Linked DNA regions of Xenopus tropicalis. The protein of the gene in region 1 interacts with the protein of each later gene in a biochemical or structural test. Links are inferred from orthologs where the notes say so. Each region holds a gene or a part of one and is shown on either strand. Other genes may lie near its edges.

Region 1 (2,833 bases):
AGTAGTTGTGGGTAAAAAGACTGACATGTCTACAAATAGGTCACCTATGGACTGTCCTTTGCAGTCAGACTTGTCTAACTTAACTGGGAATATGCAGGATAACTTTGTTCCAGAAATCAAAATCAGGTTGAAAAGTGCTACTCAAGATAAACATTATCAGTTACTTACAAAAAACACTGAAGTAAGTGCCACACAAACAGAAGAAGTTTTGCAGTGTGCAGCAGGTTTGGGAACATGTATTGGGAACATAAAGTCAAACAAACCATGTGAAAAAGGCAATAGCAATAATCCAGTTGAACCTCATGAGCTTGAAAGCAAGAGAGCAGAGAAAGAGGATGATGGAATATGTATCATTAAAATGCCACTTCCTAAAAGCTGTATAGCTGCTGAAGCACAAACCAACATGGAGCCATTACATGGTGATATCAGTGATGAGGCTGATTTCTCTAAAGTTTCTGATGTGTCACATTTAAGTAACAAAAATGGTGTATCCATGAAAATACAGGAGACTGCAAAATGTCTACAAAGTAGAACAGTCAGTGTAATTGGGTCCTGCAGTGACTCCGTGATGAATGTAAAAAGTAAAGAGGGTCATGTCAAAAGCATGAAAAGAAAGAAGAGCCTGACACAGACCTCACCGAAAAATGGGGATGGATTATTCAATGGCACAGATGACAAAGGGGAAGGAATAAAAATTAAGCGTCCAAGAAAAAATTGGTAAGGAAATTAAACAGTTTAGCAATAACCTCACTGAGGAAGTAAGGTAAGTCTTTTTCAGATGCAGATGACCACATGGTTGGAATGTGCTGTGCTAAAACGTTTGATTGGTTGCCCTGCATTACTGCCCAGATGCAAAGTTGCCCAGTGTTTAGAAGTGACCCACATGGTGTTTTATACAATAGAACAAACTCCTAAGGTGGCCATACACGTAGCAATTTCAATCTTTTGTGTGACCATTGGTTGCACGAAAGGTCGTTCCCACCTTCCACTGACGTTCAGGGCTGAATCGTCTGATATGGAGGTAGTAACAATAGAAATCCTACCTCCACCTGCGATTCAGCCCTGAACGTAGATTTTGCTCAATCTTTTAACCTGGCCGATCGACGAGTTCACCGATATCCGCAGCCTTTTGCAATATCAGTCGCCTCTTCGAGCAGCCATACGCGCACCGAATATCATAAGAAATGAGGTTTCGTACGATATTATTGGTGCGTGTATGGCCGGCTTTAAATGATTTCTGGGAGCTAAAACCACATAGAAATAACTGTCTCAGATTGTTTACTTTTTCAATTTTTTGGTTCTGGATCAAATCGGAATTGAAAAGTGAACAAAAAAGCTTTGGAGGGAAGAAAAGCAAGAAGATAATTCTTTTTAATGCAAATATAGGATTCTGTAAACCAAGTTAATGTCAGCAAAATATTTAATTTCTTACCTTTCTCTTCCTAGCACCTCTGATTCAGACAGCAACAGTCAATTTTCACCTGAAATTTCTTTAGACCTGATTGTGAGCTGCAGCCCTCCAGAATCTCCCTGTCCTGCATCAAATCAGGGTCTCAAGGTAAGTAGAAAAACAACATTTTATAAAGGGGTAGGCAACATAATATTTAATATCTGTTAAATATTTGTCTTTTACTCCTTCATCCAACTTTTATTTTTTTTCATATTTTTCTTTCCTAATTGAATTCACCTCCTAGTTTGGTATTCAAACTCTGGTTCTTTTTATTTTTTTTTTTATTCTCTAAACCTCGTGTCTTCCTCTGACTTTGTCTGACAACTTTTCTTTGCTTTCAGTCTCATGCCTCAACACAGTGTGACCCTGATGAAGTGATTGTGCTTTCAGACTGAACTTACATTGGAACAATTAATTTATGAGCAACATTGACTAAGGTTTCTTCTGCGGCTATATATGGACTATCTTCTACAGGTGTTGACAAGCATTGATTTTTTTTTATTCATGTATAGTATAGTAAGGATAACACCTGGATGAATTATCTTGGCTTGATAAGCGGACCAATGGCACTGAATTGTTTGGAGGCTTCTGGGAAGTTTTATATATGGGCTATGGAACTCATATAGAGGGTTAGTTCTTGAAGGGCTATGTGCCTCTTCAGATTTGGGTATATCCCAGGGATTATTTTGGATATCTCCTGCAAACAAACCTTTTTTTTGGATTTGTAAAAAAAAAAGAAAGAAAACTTTAATAAATTTGTGTTTTATTACTACTGAGTCATGTTTTTCTTCTTACACAGTTCTGAAAGTGTCACTGGTAATATGAAAACAAAGGTGGTAAAGCAAACAAGGAAATTAAAGAGCAACAGAATATTTTAATGTTATGTAAAACAAATGAGAAATGTGTCAAACTCAATCCTTGGAACAGGGTAAATGCAGGAAGTCTGCAAGGCACTTAAACGGGTTGTTTGCCTTTAAATTAACTTTTAGTATGATGTAGAGCAGGGGTGGCGAATACATTGATCGCGGTCCACCAGTCGATCCCCGAGGATTTCTGGTGGCCTGCATCACATACGTACGAATTCACGCCGCACTTCCCACGTCGTCAGTCGATCGGAGGAAAAAAGTCTGCCCATCCCTGATGTAGTGTGATATTCTGAGACAATTTGCAATTGGTTTTAATTTGTTATTGTTTGCGGTTTTTGAATTATTAAGCTTTTTATTTAGCAGCTCTCCAGTTTGCAGTTTTTCCATTCTGGTTGTTAGGGTTACCCTAGCAACCATGCACTGATTTGAATAAGCTACAGGAATATGAATAGGCGATTGCCTGAATAGAAAGATAATTAATAAAAACTTGCAATAACAATACATTTGTAGCCTTACA
Region 2 (4,428 bases), on another chromosome or scaffold:
AATTTCCATTGACTTTAGATTCTAGCATTTTATCCTCCTCCCACATATGGAGAAAATGCTGTGGCGACAAAATGCTAGAAATCTCCCAGTCTGCGAATACCCTTAGGTAATACAATGAACACACTTGGATATGTCTGGATGCAATCATCCACTGAAGGATCTAAAAGTATAATTTATAACTAAATGAAAGGCCTTCTGCACATTTTTTGGGGTAAAGAATGGCATGTTTACTAAATGCTGGTTTCAATGACATGCCAGGGAGTGCAGTAAGTACCAGTCATAATGTGACTGGGATTCTATACTGGAACGTGGCACTGAGGATGTTAATTGAAGCTTTTCTGGGTGAAATATTCCCCTCACTACCATCACACTATCCAGGTCGGACTAGGCTGGGAGGACACCAGGAAAAAATCCAGTGGGTGCCTCCAAGCCTCAATACCCCCCATTGCCACAGCCCTCCGATGCGGAACAAAGTATAATGTATGTGCATGGGGGAGGGCTGGTGGTGGGTGAGTGGGCTGTGGGGACTCCTGAGGTGGTGTGGAGGCCACTTGTGTAGCACAACCCCAGTCTACCACTAACAACATCTGAATGGAACAATGGTGGTTTGCAGCCCTAGTGTATCTACAGCAGCGGAGATAACACACAGTGTGACCCTGGCCTAGAGCTCACCAAAGAATAAGGCTAGATATGCTACACATTATGTTTTGGGCTTCTGTACTAGTCCAAGGCCTCCACAGTTCCATAGAAGTCAGAACAACTGAAAACAACTGATCACATTTTGGGTGACAGGGGACTTTATAGTGGTGGAAAGTTGTTCCTCCTGTTTTACTTAACAGCTTCTAGACAAGGGATCCCCAAGATTTTTTTACTCATGAGCAACATTTCAATGAAAAAAAAACTGGGGAGCAACACAAGCACAAAAACTTTCCTAGTAGGTGACCAGTAAGTATTCAGATTAGGTAATTAGTAGCCCAATGTGGGCTGGCAGACTACTAGAGACTGTTTAGCAGTACACATGGTCTTTATGCCTCCAAAACTTGCCTCCAAGTCAGAAATCCAAAAATGGGCACTAACTTTAAGGCCACTGGGAGCAACATCAAAGGGGTTGTTTGCTTGTGAGCCACTTGTTGAGGATCACTGTTCTAGACTATAGTATTATTTCTCAACAGGGTATCAAGCTAAGAAAGAATGGTAAGGCAAAGATTGGCTCATTGGTCACCTTCTAGTTGGCCGGCTGTTAATGGCAGGTCATGCCTGGCTGTGATATACAAGCCTGCATTGTCTTGTGTATATGCATAGTGAGTAAAGCTCTTAGTATTATGTATGCCCCACCATTGGAATGTACAGTATATAGCATCTGCAGAGTAGCTTTCCCAGCACAGTTGCCTCTGGGCTGACTCCCACCCTCTGTACTCTGTGTGCAGGAGTCGGACACTGCCCAGCCCTCATTCTCCTCTCTCCCTTGCTTGTGGCTGGATTCTCCCTGCTGAGATGCCCCTCTGATTTCTGACGATTACCACTGCGTCCCTTGGCTGCACTTCCTCTCCTCTCTCTTCTAATAATTTTTTTTTACATTTTTTTAGTCTTTTTTTTTTTTACTTCTGACGTGTAAATCTTGGCAGCTTCTCTTCCAGAGATCTGGATTTCTTTGTCTTGGTTCTGCAGGAAACTTGGGGGACATTTCCAGAGGTTTAACGCTATTTAATGCTTCCGGAAATATTTGAATTTCATGAAATTACTGTTGTGAATTAGCTTCATGCCAGGAGGAGGCTGCCCTGCATTGCTTTGTGCATTCTTTGCAGTACACTGGCATCCTGGGAGCTGCAAGCACAGTCACCAAGGGGCAGTGGATATGGGTCAGTGGCTCCTCTCTGAATTCCTGCTGTCACTTTCCCTTGTGTCAGCAGTGGGACCCTCCTCCAGAAAGATCTAGCACCATCCTTAGCACCATGGCACAAGCACTGGGATGCACTGAGATGCAATGAGGACACCCCATACAAGTGATGAAGTTACACTCTTTGTAAATTTCCTGTTGCTGCTTTTTTTTTCTCCTGCAGTCTTAAGTCATGAACAGAACAGAGTGCTACAGAAATACAAAGAGCAGAAGACACGGGGAGGGCGGAAGCCTGAGACTTTAACATAAAAGCACAGTTGTCTAATGCCAGAGAAAGGAAAGGAGAAGTTATTTGACTCCCCTGCTGACTAGAATCCTGTGAGATGTGGGAAAATGGGGCCAGCTATGAGATAATCGAGCTGAAGGATCTGAAGCCGAGGGATGGCATCGATCTGACGCAAAGCTCCCGTGGGGGGCACCGCCTGGAGCGTACCAATGCTGTCAGGATCCCTCCAAGCAGGACACCCCCTATTCTGCAGAGGAGCCTGAGAAGGAGAATACTTGGTGGGCAAGGTGACATACTGCCACCTGGGAAAGCAGGAGAGGGACATTATTTCCAGCCCACATCTAACACTCAGCACACTTGGTGTGACCTCTGCGGGGACTTCATATGGGGCATCTACAGGAAAAGCCTTCGCTGTGTGTGTGAGTACCAGTGGGTAAAACAAATATTAACCCTTAGTTACCATATCCTATCTCTATTCTGTCATAGCCCCAAGTTACAGGAACCAGTGATGATTTGGACATGTTATCATTTGCCTAGATGGAAATGATTTCTGAGGACACATTGGTGTCAGGCTGCTGCTCCACATGTGTCTTCCTGTGCCGGTACCTTCCCTGTGTGTTACACTTAAGGTGACCATACAAGTTTAGATTCCAGTCTTCTTCAACTAATGTTTGCTTGTCAATTATATGTTTAAATACAACGATCTGAAACTAACATTCAGACTGAAATTGTAGTATAAAGCCCTAAATATAACAAATCTGAGGATGTTCTGTACATGAAATAGTTGGCAGACACCAACCGTACAAAAGTTATGTCCCAGAAATACATTGTGGGTCCCCCAAGGATATTGTCAGATACACAATACATGCACAGATTTTAGCGTTATCGGAATGAAATTTTCTAACCTGTCTGATCTACCAATCACCATGGTACAACAATTATCGGGATGATAATTTGGAGCCCACACAGTCCGAAAATCATATAATATATAAGTTGTGCACGATTATACTGCTGCGTGTATAGCCAGCTTTACAGTGTGTTCTGCTGTGTGGTACCACATTCAGTGAGTAGTGGAAGTGATCCATACAGCTCGGAATAGGAAGCTGAGGAAGGATAGGAAGGAGGCAATTGCTAAACGAAGAGAGCAGGTACTGCTTTGGGTGAATTGGACCAGTTACAGTAGGCAGTGGAATGCCCTGCATGGCAACCACAGCACCATACACCAGCCATTCAGCCTTAATGAATATGTTTTAAAAACCAATATTCATTAACTGGAAGAATTCAGTATCCAACCAATCCAATATAAAGATTATGAATTTAGTGCATCTTAAAAAAATTCCTGTCAGAAGAGAGACTGTCCATGGAAATTAGGCAGGGAATAGTTAATATCTATACGTTCTGACCTTTGGGGGGGGGAAAAAAAGGGTTAGAGTGTGAGCAGCAGATTTGCTCTGTTTCACCATTTTATAATATTCCCCAATATCTCAAGCTGCTAAAAGAACAACAGGTCTAAGATGTCAAATCCCAACACTGAGTGGCCCCTGTGGCCCCATTTTCATCAGAGCAGGATACTTGATTGATTTTACCTTTAAAAAATGAAAGAGTTAAGCCTCAGCCATGGGAATATCCTGGCTTTATTCAGAAAGAATCTATTATTTAGCAGTCTATAAGGTTGAAATGCAGATTTAGACACTTCAGATGTGGTTGAGCTAAAGGTGTGCCTCAGCTACATCCGGATACCAGTTGCCCGTACCTGGTCCATAATGTGCTTTAATTATTAGAGCAAAGTGAAATAATTCAACATATGTTAAAGCTGTATGAATCTCATTGGCTGGGTGTTAAAAGGGAGTCTATAAATAGAGGTTTCTACAACAGAGAATTGCCAAACAACCAATGAGAATGCAGACATTTATCATCTGAACTCAGGTTTTAATAAGGACATCTAACCATCTGTGCCAATTGCCATTGTATGAGAGTCAGGCAGAGGTTTTTGTTTGGATCATAAGGTACAACACAGAAGTATAGTGTGAGAACACGGAAGGTTTCATTGTGTATGGACTAAAAATTGCACCAATAGAAAGTCGTTTTCATTGGTAGTAGACAGGTGCCCAAGACAGAGGAGACAAGATGACTATGGCTTCTTAGTTTCAGTGGCACCTATAGTCAGGGCTAGCAGGAAAGAGAATACAAAGGGACAGACACTGCTTTCGGAAGCAATTCCATTTACCAATAACTTTAAAATCACTGATATTTTTAATCCATGTGTATAGGAAATTTGCTTGGAATTATATATACAATGTGAGTA

What was found.
Region 2: the proteins of daxx (region 1) and rassf1 form a complex in vitro, tested with the Homo sapiens proteins (4 studies listed by BioGRID and IntAct, with this or other methods). The link is inferred for Xenopus tropicalis from reciprocal best matches to the Homo sapiens genes DAXX and RASSF1.

The regions. Positions count from the first base shown.
Region 1 is NC_030684.2:72,189,680-72,192,512, reverse strand, and holds the end of daxx (death domain-associated protein 6), read left to right. Parts: coding exon 1-717; intron 718-1,446; coding exon 1,447-1,558; intron 1,559-1,791; coding exon 1,792-1,845; 3' UTR 1,846-2,219; downstream 2,220-2,833. UniProt on the Homo sapiens protein: Transcription corepressor known to repress transcriptional potential of several sumoylated transcription factors. Down-regulates basal and activated transcription.
Region 2 is NC_030680.2:127,237,818-127,242,245, reverse strand, and holds the start of rassf1 (ras association domain-containing protein 1), read left to right. Parts: upstream 1-1,562; 5' UTR 1,563-2,220; coding exon 2,221-2,542; intron 2,543-4,428. UniProt on the Homo sapiens protein: Potential tumor suppressor. Required for death receptor-dependent apoptosis. Mediates activation of STK3/MST2 and STK4/MST1 during Fas-induced apoptosis by preventing their dephosphorylation.